Linked DNA regions of Nothobranchius furzeri. The protein of the gene in region 2 interacts with the protein of the main gene of each other region in a biochemical or structural test. Links are inferred from orthologs where the notes say so. Each region holds a gene or a part of one and is shown on either strand. Other genes may lie near its edges.

What was found.
Region 1: the proteins of rab11a (region 2) and rab11fip1a form a complex in vitro, tested with the Homo sapiens proteins (2 studies listed by BioGRID, with this or other methods). The link is inferred for Nothobranchius furzeri from reciprocal best matches to the Homo sapiens genes RAB11A and RAB11FIP1.

The regions. Positions count from the first base shown.
Region 1 is NC_091757.1:39,987,564-39,993,887, reverse strand, and holds the start of rab11fip1a (rab11 family-interacting protein 1), read right to left. Parts: upstream 3,898-6,324; 5' UTR 3,523-3,897; coding exon 3,173-3,522; intron 1-3,172. Other genes in the region: adgra2 (adhesion G protein-coupled receptor A2), read right to left, coding at 5,920-6,324. UniProt on the Homo sapiens protein: A Rab11 effector protein involved in the endosomal recycling process. Also involved in controlling membrane trafficking along the phagocytic pathway and in phagocytosis. Interaction with RAB14 may function in the process of neurite formation.
Region 2 is NC_091749.1:66,766,970-66,773,059, reverse strand, and holds the start of rab11a (ras-related protein Rab-11A), read left to right. Parts: upstream 1-2,273; 5' UTR 2,274-2,398; coding exon 2,399-2,438; intron 2,439-5,915; coding exon 5,916-6,090. Other genes in the region: SH2 domain-containing protein 7, read left to right, coding at 445-1,116. UniProt on the Homo sapiens protein: The small GTPases Rab are key regulators of intracellular membrane trafficking, from the formation of transport vesicles to their fusion with membranes.

The DNA of each region.
Region 1 (6,324 bases), on a different chromosome or scaffold from region 2:
AACAGGTTATTTTACAAGTATTATTGTCATGTCCTGCTGTGTTTTTATATATTTATATTTTACAGACTTACTTGTCCATGAAAAGTTCATCAACTCTGCATCAGCTGAGGTATTTCTTAAATTTGAAGCATGTAAATGGTAGTCTAACACTATTAGTTAGTTCTAGTTGGTGCTCAGTTTCCTATTACACAGAGCTCTGCGAGGCAGGGGGCATGCTTAGCAAAAAACAACATAAAATTATGTAATGCTTACATTATATCACAGCACTTGATAAGACTATCAATTTTACGTATTTCTGAAAAATCATAATTTCTGAAAGGGGAAAACTCCGGGGAAAAACTAGTTGAGTTGCTAAACTGATGCTAAATGTGGGCTTCTTCTAAGAACAGTTAAAATAGCTAAAAAATACAAGTACAATTATTATTTCAATATAATCTCATTCAAACAAATTTGAAGGTATTAAATTTGTAGTCCTACTGAACCTGGCTTGTCAAACAGTGTAGTTTATTTAAAAAACAGTCTTTTCATTAATCACATTCAAAGCACAGTGTGTAAAAACATTCTAATCTCTAGCAGCCCAGAGTAGATATAGCATCTAAAATAGCTCACAGGCATTAAAAATGCAACGTTTTATTGTGGTGATGCATGCATGGCTGCGGGGGAGAGGAGACACTGTAGCTCAGACAGCTACATCGGGGGTCACACACAGAAACCACCACACACCAGCTTTCAATAGTCTGCAAGTTATTTTACATTTTCTGCTGTTCTGATGATCTCTCTCTCTCAGGGAATCAAGAACCCCTTGTCCGTGTCTTGTGAATATATGTAAAACGGGTCTCTTCCGCCATTTTCAGCAGCTGTCTTCTTGCTCTGCGTCTTCTGGGTCACTTATCTCCCTCTCCTCTGCAGCCGTGCGTGCACCACCAGAGAAGTTAAAAACTTCCAGATTTCGTTCCAGCAATCTCACTTAGTTAGAGCAGGGCAAGCAACCAAAGAGCAAGAAGCAGAATGTCTCCAAACCAACAACACTGTCATGGAGAGATCCAGCACAATCTCCGCACAATGCTTAGAGAGTAAGAAGAATTTTTATGCCAAAGCACAAATGCGAAATGTCGAGCATTATATCTTGTATGTCCCTAAACAGCTACGGTACTCCAGGATGGAGCATGACTATGGAGTATTGATCACAATTTATGTAAATAAAAATGTAAAATTTCAATCTAATAGGAATATTTGAAATATATGTTGGTGAGAATTTTTTGTTAAAAAAGAGCATGTTTGTGAAAGGAATACACAGAATTTGATAGTAAACAAGTACAAATATCACACACGGTGCCTTTGAATATTATCTCCCTAAACCTCTTTAATATTTGGATGGATTCATTTAGGACAAAAGGACATCAATCAGAAGCAAACTATACCATATCAGTTTGAGATTGTGATTTACAGTTATTGTGGGTTTTGAATATTAAATTAAATTCCTTATAAACGTAAATGTCAGCATTGTTATTAGGAATAGTAATCACATAATCTTAGGTAAGTTTGTGCTTAAAAGTTTTACGATAATTTAAAAAAGGGAAATAATTTAAGTAAAAATCTCAAAAACAAGGTGAAATACGAATATACCTACATGATTTAATTTCCCATTACAAATAAAAGAACTCCTCGTCTCATTCTTCTCTGTTTCTATGAAAGACAAAGGCCTTAAGGCTAAAATTTCATCTTTTACAGTTGAGAGAACATTAAGGATCCCTGCCAGCAGGAAAACAAGGTCTTGAATGTCGCACCCTGTGTCAGCAGAGTAGAGAATCGGGGCAGTAATCGAACACCACACACTCACGGCCAAAGCACCAACATCCAAACCCAGAGAACATCCTGGATCTCACAGGAGACAGAGGGATAAACACAGGCAAGGACAAAAGGAGCTGGACTTTGCTATAAAGCAATAAAGGCACACTGAGCAAACAAAAGATAAAATGTCAGATAAGACTCAAACATAACCAAGTAAATGAGGTAATTGCAGAACTATGGCAGGTTCTAGCTGGGTGATTAGAGAGCCAACACAATCTCTAGCTCACTCTTTTTCCGAAGGTTGCTGTAAAAAAAAAAACTACTTAAGGGACATTTTCTCAGGGCAACACCAAGACTATTCCATCTATTTTAGGCTGGGTATATTTTTCTCTCACAGAAGAAGGTGTGTAGATCCCCATTTAGCGCTAAAAGCTTTGTTTTGATTGCTGTTTTACACCCTACGTCAAAACAACATATGTCACCCTGATGTGTGTCATGCTAATCTGGGTTTGAGTAATGCACTCCAAGCCACCTAACAAACCAGAGGAATGTGTGGGATTGTCAGCAGTTTCCAGAGTAGGCCTCCGTCATCGCGTCAGTGATAATGTTGGCTTCAAACCATATTCTGAAGGAAAAGTCTAAGATGAACGTTAGGGTTGGGGCAGTGAGGACAGAAAAAACAGATGACGTTTTTGTTTTATCTCCCAACCACAAACTAACAAGAGGAAGGAGGCTTGAGCCAAAACTTCTAACCTGTTTTTACTTTATTTAATTTAGGAAATTCATCTCAGAAATGAACATCTCAGGGGCTAAAACAACTCTAAATAAAATCTCGGCAGCTACCTTGATTTAGTCCCATTGATTTCAGTAAAAGTTAAGACTGATCTATGCTTGTTTCAACAAAGATTTTTAGCATTTGTCAGGTTTTTATCCAGTTTATCATCTTTTCATTGCAGGTATCATGTTTCATGTAATAATTTTCAGCACAGTAACTAATTAAACCCACTTCTGTATTAATATGTTATTATGGTAATGTGCTAGTTGTCTAAAAACTTAATGCAGCTGTTGGATTTTACAGTAAAACACACCAGGATCACATTTGGATAGAGTTATTTTAGGAGACCTCCTGCTTAAAGCTCAGTTTATGCGTGACCCCTCATTGGGGAGATAGATGTAAATGAAAAAAAGAGAGATAAAACAACCAGGAAGTTCATGTTTGTTTAGAAGTCCCACTGTTTTCCAATACTGTAAATACCCTAAATAATAACATCTATATGCTACTGAGCGTTGTCTGCTGACTAAAATCGCTAAGATAAAAGTATCTAGTTATTTGAACTGGATACATGTGAATTTTGACTCAAGAGTAACTTAGGAGACTTACTCTGTTTTGTTGCGGGACTTGTTGTCATAAAGGTCCAGCAGGTTGATGACAGCCTGGCCCAGGAATTTGTCCAGACCCACCTGAGCCCGGTGCATCACGATGATGTACAGCGTACAGCGGTCAGTGTTTTCCGGGTGGAAGAGCGGCAGGTCGAACGAAGCCTCTTCCTTCCACACCGGAGCCACACATTTCTCTGCCACCGAGGTGGAGAACTTATCCTTGGCCACCTGGATGATGGCATAGGCGTCGTTGGTGCCATTCTTGCCCTTGACCCGCAGGTTCCGAGCCTGACGCACCGTTACCCGGACACTCGTAGGGAACAACTGCTGGCTCTGACCGAGCAGAGACATCGTCAAAAGTCCGTGAACGTGAACCAAACAATGTTATCCCAGCCACTAATGTTTATCAACCCTTCCCTGAGGTAGGTTCGTCACCTTCGGTGTCCTGATAGGCTGCTGGCCTCTGGTTACTCAGCGTTCAGCTTCAGTTCAGGAAGCTAAATTTAACGTCGCAATAGTTCACCGTTCGGAGGCCCCTAATAACATCGGTTTGATAAAAAGTCTGTTAACAACCTTATCGCTAATATTAGCCTGAGTGAGACAAACAAAACATGACCAAACCGTCACAAGTTTAGCTTTCATAAACACAACTTCGTCTACTCCCCCACCAAGTTTCACAGTTCACTTCCCTGAGGTTACGGGGGTTCCCACCCATACTCTGTATTGACCTCGCTGATTGGTTGATGGTTTTGTCAGTTTCTCAAAGTCGAGCTGTGATTGGTCGCTTAATAGGAGGGCGTACGAAATTGCGCACCGTTAATTTGTTTTATTAAATACTTATCTGGAATCAGTATAAAGTCGTGAAAGTAACAAAGTACACACTAATAAGATATTTATATTTATAATTTCTTATTTCTTAGCTGGATATGTTCCAATTCCAACATGACGTTATGGAAAATTACAAAAGTGCGAAATGATCCAGAATAAAATTAAATCCCATCACATTTCTCAGAGTTTGGTTGGACTGGTTGTGTACTCTCAGTACACAGAAGACAGAAGACAGAATGATCCAATGTGTCAAGCAGTTTAACACAATAATTTTGAATGAAACCGGCCTTTTATCTATAAGGAATAAGAAATTCATCTAATCATGGTTTCTAAAAAAAGACCCAGATAAAATTAAACATTTTGGACAAACTGTATTAGTTATTCTGAATCATGGACAAAACAAGTCTGTCAGAGCCTAAAATAGGTTTCCATTAGAAAATGAGTCACAGTAACTTCCTGGTTGGGAATGGCAGTGAAACAGACTGAACATGTTTAAACACACAACATTACCAGATTGCAGTAAAGAACAATAGGGGAAAACTAAGACAGCGTGTTGTTGGTGTAAATGTTATTTCCTTTTTGAGTAATTTCCTAAATTGCTGGTGTATCAGACAGTTTAAAAGCAGAAGTACATCATTGGTCTATGCAAGTTACCACAGACAAAGTTTTCTGGTAAAACAACAGATGCGTGGCCTTTTTATCATTAATAATAATAATGCATTGAACTTATATAGTGCTTTTCAAGACCCCCAAAGACGCTTTCACACACTGCTAGTGATGGTAGGCTGCTTGTAGCCACAGCCGCCCTGGGGAGGTCTGACAGAGGCGAGGCTGCCATTTGGCGACGTCGGCCCCTCTGACCACCTCTAGCACAGGCAAGTTGGGTGAAGTTTCTTGCCCAAGGACACAACAGCAGGATACCCCTGGCGGGAGCTGGAATTGAACCCATGACCCTCCGATCATGAGGCAACCCGCTCTACCACCTGAGCTACTGCTGCCCCATAATAATTAATTTGTTGATATTTTTGGAGAAGTTTTAACACCACTGCCATGACACAAAAATTATTGGGATTCATTTGAAGCAATTTGTAATCCCTAAATTTTACTGAAGGTGTTCCTGTTGTCCATAGGAGACAGTCAGTTTTCTGGTGGTAGTCAAAGTGTCATGCCTCTTTCTTTTTCTCCCTTTGGCTTAATGGAGGTTGGATCAGAAAAAAGGGAAAGCTCTGAAAGTTCAAAAGTCTTAGCAATTTTAATTCACTCTGGGATTCTGTACAGCCACACTCGTGAGTTTTCTCTTATTACACACACACACACACACACACACACACACACACACACACACACACACACACACACACACACACACACACACACACGCACACACACACACACACACACACACACACACACACACACACACACACACACACACACACACACACACACACACACACAAAGGCACAGCAACATAAATGCACATATATTAGCATAGATAAACAATCACTTAGAGCAAACTCACAGATGAACGTTTGCCCTCAGATTAAATGCATATAGCTGTACTTGGTGAATGGATTACACTGTAATCCATTTTATGCTAGAGTTGATTTGCATAGGAGAAATTACAACTAAAACAGTAAAGCTTTCATTAAACAACCAAATGCAACAATGCATGCCAACTTCAAAAAATGTTTGGTACATTTTTTTTTGTAAAGCGATTAAAATAAAAGTGAATCTATGATTGAAAACAACAATATTGTTTCACAGCAAACAAACAACACTACAGAGGCAAAAGTACCAGTTTAGGGTCCTGGATGCCTCCATGGTATGATAATATCTTAAATTATATAATTATTAGGACACCATTAGAACACAACCAAGTCTTTTTCTTCAGGTAATGCATTGATGTTCTACTGTGCTTCACACTGTGGTTTCACTTTTCCACAAGCCGCTCTTCATCCCAACAGAGCACTGGGACTGGTCTGTGCTGCTCACGTCCTGCTCAAGCTCTAACACAGAGGTTTTCAGGGTGCCGTTTGGGGCAGCGGCCCCCGGCACAGCGGTGGTGACACTGTTCAAAGGGTAGGAGCAGCGCTTGGTTTCTCGCTCTGCAGATGCTCTTAAATTGTCTCTGCTGGAGCATCGTCTCTGAGCATCATGCATTGCCACTCTGCTGGCAGCAGAAGGCAGCAGAGGGAAGGGTTTGCGGCTCCCGCTGCTGCCCCCATCACTTCCCTCGGAGGGGCTAGTGGCTACCGATTCCCCCACCCGCTTCCCATTTGTCAGCAGGCTGGCCTGGTTCTCTGAGAGGCTGTGGTGAATGCT
Region 2 (6,090 bases):
TAGACATGTTATTAAAACACTTTGGATTTAAACATATTGTCCATTCAACAAAATATGATTATGAAAACTTGTAAACTTATGTAGTCATTGGAGCCAGGGAAGATAAACTTCATTCAACTCTTGTCGTGATTGGCGCTATATAAATAAACTTGAATTGAATTCAAAGAGGATAGATAAGAAGTCCTGCATCCTCTGCAGCCATGAGGACTCGTGACGTACATAGACTTCATGTCGGCACCACGGTGTCAGATAGACCTGTATGAAGAAGTTTGGTCTGTAAGTTAAAAGTTCATTTCTGGTCATTTAGATGAAATATTTGGCCATTTGGTACGCTGCAAAGAGCAAACATGAAAACGGCTCACTTTACCTAAACATCAGATACCTTTTAAAAATCTTCTATACCTGTGTTTCTGACCTGACCCTAATCCCCACGTTGTGTTCCAGGTTCTGCCTCCAGTACCAAAGAGGGGAATGCCTCCAGCCTTCAGCCTGAGTGGATCTCTGCCTGAAACGACACCACATCCTAGTGAAACCCAGTTTGAGTCCAACAAAGCTCAGAGACTCAGAACCAACCCAACTCAAAAGATCAATGGGGATTTGTTTAGACCTTTAGAATTGGAATGTCCCGATCTGACCCAGGTGGAGACCAGGAGCCAGTCTCTGCCTTACCTGGGCACCAAAGTGGAGGAGGAGGAGGCATACTCCAACCAGTTAAGCAGCCTCTCCCTTCAAGCACCTTCTTCTCCAAAAAGGGTCACCTGTCAAACCTACTCCCTCCACGCCCCCGAAGGAGATCTGAGAAGTTTCATGTCAGAGCAGCAGATCAGAAACCAGGACCAGCTGAGGTCTAACCCTCTGTACGAGCCCTCCAGGGTACCTGGAGAAAGTGCAGCTCAGCGGCGGGGTGTCATGTACGCTGAGGTTTCTAAGGGTTCAGCACCAACTACGCAGACAGAAGACACCTATGAGCTGGTCCCTGGAGAGGCCACTGAAGTCCAAAGCAACACCTACGAGTCTCTGGAGGACATGAAGACTAAGAAACCCAAAAGCACCTGGGGCAAAAATGTAAGATGCAACGTCATGTGCTGGTTTTTATTACAGAGAGTAAATAAATAATCTGACGTTTTTTTTTAAATAATTTTGTCTCTACAGAACATAAAATGGAGGAACTTCTTAAAGAAATAAATATATCTTGTGGAGTTTCTCAAGTTCGGGGCTTCCTCCTGACGTCAGGAGACTTCATTCAGAATCTCTAAGAGATGAAAATAAAAACAGGCCTCCTGGAGTGAGATTCATACCTGCATGATCAATTATGGGGTGAAAAGAGGGGGATACTGACCACCACAAATTACAGCAGGCCCAGAAAATCCTCCCTGTTATCTTATAGCAGGGGTGGTCCCGATAGCCAGCATGATTTAGTTGTTTCCCTGCTTCAACACACCTGGTTGTAATCAGCAGGTGATTAACAGGCTTTTACGGAGCCTGAGGAGCTTCTGAACAGGTGATTCAACCACTGAATTATGTAGAGTATAGAGGAACAACGAAAACATGGATACCGCCCTTTGGAGACCAGGATTGAGAACCAATGTCTTAGAAGATTAAACTCTTGTGGATCAAATGACATTATCCTACATGTTCACATGTATAGGCTATGCTGGGCTACTATAGTGAGCTTAATATCTGTATTGTTTATTTTGGGACTGAAGGACATGGGACACTAGCCCCAGAAGCCCTTCAACCCCTCCATCCTAGAAGTGTTGAGATTTAGTTATGCAAAATGGTAAATGGCCTGTGGCGCCTTCTAGGATTCTAAAACCCCCCAAGGCACTTTACAACGAACCAGCCATTCACCCATGCACACACACATTCACATGCTGGTGATGGTGAGCTACAATGTAGCCACAGCTGCCCTGCTACAGCGAGATGTGCAGGTCACTTTAACTAACTGAAGAGATAAACACTCAGGTTAGCATCATTTTTATACTTTATTCATAGCCTAATTATACTGTTATTAATGAATGTATTGATGCCTAAAAATAAATAACTTTTAAGTTTGAAATCACTTTATTTATTTGACACTTGGTGAGCATACAGTATTCTACATTTAATGAAAAAATAATGTATTTATGAGTTTTAAGGCCTCCAAATTAATGTCTTCCTCAATATGCGCGTTCCCGTAACAATGCATGCAAATGTCTCGGCTGGCATTTTCGGTACACACACCTCCAGGTTGCGCTCCGTCCTGTGGCCGCTGGGGGGCAGAGTATCCGCTGCATTCCGCTGTCAGGATTCCAGCGAAGAAGAAACTATCTCCCATCTAATTCCCGTCGGACAGTAAAATCTCGTCTTTTCTGTTTTAACAAAATCATTTTTGGACCCGCTCTCCAGTGTTGGGACGATGGGCACCAGAGATGATGAATACGACTATTTATTCAAAGGTAAAGCGGTGTTTGTTGTTATTTGGCAGGCTAGGCGGTGGAGCTAACGGAACCGCCGTCAGCCTTTTGTGTTCGGGTCTCAACAAACTTCTCTGACGTGAGTCAGCGCGTTGAATCGGTTTTCCGAACTCCCGACGAACCATGTCTGACTCGTTCGGGTAGGAAATTGTTCATCCGGTGCTTGTTGTTCGTGCTAAAGCGCATCTTGGTTCGGGATAGCGGTTAGCTCGGGTTAGCCTGCCGACAGCCAGCGGGACACACCTAGACCTAACATGATCAGATCCTCCTGATGCGATCCGGACCGATCTGCCAGCAGCACCGTTAACGGGCCCGAGACGACGTTTAACAGCAAATTCAGAGCCCGAGGCAGAACCGGGCTGGTCCAGCTGAGGTGAAACTGGACGAAAAACTCTTAACTGCTTTATTGATCAGGTTATTAATATCAGATTATTGATCAGGTTGTTCATCTGTGGGTTATTTATATTCCACTCTCACGTGAGCTTCCGGTTTCGTATTCTCACATTTCTTCCACTAACCTCCTGTTTTCCCGAGAGTTTTAACTTCATTTATCAGTTTATAAAAACACCAAATCCTGAAAGGAGCAGAATCACCAAAGAGAACATAAAATAATCAAGTATCATTAAAATAACTCCTGAATAAGAAGTAAAACGGTTGTATTTGTCTTTTTCAACCCCCCCCCCAAGCGATTTATTTTAGTGCATCTTAGTTAAAATTGAAATATTCTGCTTAAAACTGTCAATGTTGTCAGGTAAAAACTCTGCACTGCATTCAAATTTAAATCTGCCATCGCTATTGGCTGAGAAGTACACTATGATGTCAGCTGGTACATTATGAGATCACAATGTTGTTGGCCTTGTTCGAGTTGAGCAGCGCCTCGCTTGGAAAACAGATGAAAGCAGACGGATGCAGCAGGGGGAGTGGCTGAAAGCCGGCGTTTAATGCCTGATTCATGCTCCTCCATCTGCGTCAGTGCTGAGACACGCAACGTCAGAGAGCTCCGCGAGGACGGACGGAGTCGAGCTCTCTTTTCTAAACATCCGTCAGTCGAGACGGAGAACGCAAGCTTGTGATTGGTCAGGACGCCGCTGTTGTCTACAGCGCCGCCATTGCGCCCTCAAAAACATAAAGAGAGCCGAGGATAACTAGTGGCAGACACGGAGCAGCTTGAAGAATACCTCGCGAAAAAACTCTAAAATATGAATGTTTAATTCCCCAGTGACAGGAGGAGTGAAAAGATGCGCAGCAAGCGTTTTATTAGTGGATGGAAATGACAGGAAACGTGGGTTTAGAGGTGGCGAGCGCATGAAGAGGTGGAGGAGAATGAGAGACAAATTTGTCTGTTAAAAAGTCTCTTATATACAAAAAAACATAATATAAACACACCATCTTGGACCGGATGCATGACAGGATACCACAGAACAGCCTACGTCCTCTGTTGTCCTGCTGGGGAATTGCTTTGCAACACTCTCCAGGAGACGGAGAAGTATGAGAGCAAAACGCTTCCGTCAATCCGTGCGTGTCTGTCCTTTGCGGAGCTGACGGAGAAGCATGAACCAGGCTTAAGATGATCAAATTTCCCTACATGTAGCTCGCAGGTGATGATGGATAAAGATATCACATTCATTCATACTTGTTTAATTTGTAATTAAAGTTCTGGTGCTTGTTAGCAACTGAAACACATCCTGACAATATCATGTAATGTTGACATGTGCATATGAAGTAATAATAAGTAAAGGTTAGCAGCTGTAGAGTTTTAGTGTGCTCATAGGAAATGTGACAATAAAAACACAAATCACATTTCTCTTTATGGCCTATATAGTTGTCATCTTAGATCAGGTGAGAGCGAGGCGTTTCCTGTCACGCCCTAGGTTTTGCAACCGGCGGAGAGCAACTGCAGCGCCTTGCTCCAAAATCTGCGGCCGCCTTGATCTCACGAGGTTATCGTTGCCTACGTAGGCATGACATCAGAGCAAGTCGGCGTCAAGTCAGACACAAATCTAACCAGCATGCACTGCGCGCCGATCACCGGTGATCGAATCTGCGCAGAACTGGATCATCTTGAACACGGCCAATGTGAGCCTGTGTGTGTGTGTGTTAGCGGCTCTGCCCTTTCGGTCTGCCAGGCAGCAGCATTTTTTAAACAGGAAATGGGAGTGGAGTGAGACTCTGGTAGGGGTGACTTGCTCTTTAACATGGCACCTGTCAGTGGACGGGGCCAAGGGGGTGGGACTCCTAACATCCTGATAAAACGATCCCGCTCCTATGTATTTTAGACCAGATTTTTATGGTTATATGTTACAAAGCAACAACTGGGAATTATTTCATTCATTTTCAACAACATTTTGATGGATATTTCCTGAAATTTATGGTAAAAACTTCAAATTGTCTCTTTAAAAAATATTGAGTAAAAAACGCCCAGAGACAAATAAAAAAATATAAATAAATTACGGGTGCACCAATTGCAGTTTTTGGCTGATCACTGTTCACCAATCTTGAAAAAAATAAAAACAGACTTGCTGATACTGATTTTTGTCTCAACTAAAAGCAGATTATGTCAATGTTTCAATTTCCTTTTATTGTGAAAACCAACATGAATACTCATGAAACAATACCATTTTCAACTGGACATGAGGTAATGCTCTCAAGTAGGGATGCAATGATACCACTTTTTTCCAAAACGATACGATGTCGATACTTGGATCTGAGTACTCCCCGATCCCGATTACCAATACCGATACTTCTACCAAACAAAAAAAATGCGATGATTTGGAATACAGATTTGATTTTCAACAGGAAAAGTTTGTGAAGTAGATAAAAAGTAAAATATATGAATGGAAATCATCACAAAACTAAAATATTAGGTGAACAGAAATGACAAGTTACAGGGAAGCCATTTTCAAGCAACTGCATTGGTATCAGTTCCTGGTATCGGCTAACTTTTACCAATACTGGTATCGGTATTGGTACCAGTATCGTATCGGTGCATCCCTACTTTCAAGCATAAATGAACGTCTTTAGCATTGCTGTTTGAACAACAAAATCATATTTGTTCCTTTAGACTTTCATTTTTCAAAATTTGAAAACAAAACTTTTGTACCCGTTTTCACACGCATGTTCAAAAATTATTCTATAGCAATGATTGGCTTGAAAAGAACCCGAGATTGGGGCCGATAGATTGGTGCACCCCTAAAATAAATGGCTATAATAGAAACTTTTGTACCAGAGCCAGAAAGGTCTAGAACCGCTCCCGGGTTCTGGATGCTTGATGTTGTTCTAAAGGTTCTTTAAGGATAGTGGGTCAGGGAGCACCAATAATCCTGCATCATAAATAAAATAGACATCCATTAGTTTCTCCTCATTCTTGTTACTTGGACTTTAAACTGTTTTTATCTTTATTTCTGCGGTTTTCTAGATTCAGGATGTCTGATGTGTTTCCTTTGTCCTGCTTTGCCTCAGTGGTCCTCATCGGTGATTCGGGTGTAGGAAAGAGTAACCTGCTGTCTCGCTTCACTCGTAACGAGTTCAACCTGGAGAGTAAGAGCACCATCGGGGTGGAGTTCGCCACGCGTAGCATCCAGGTGGACGGCAAGACGGTGAAGGCTCAGATTTGGGACACAGCTGGACAAGAACG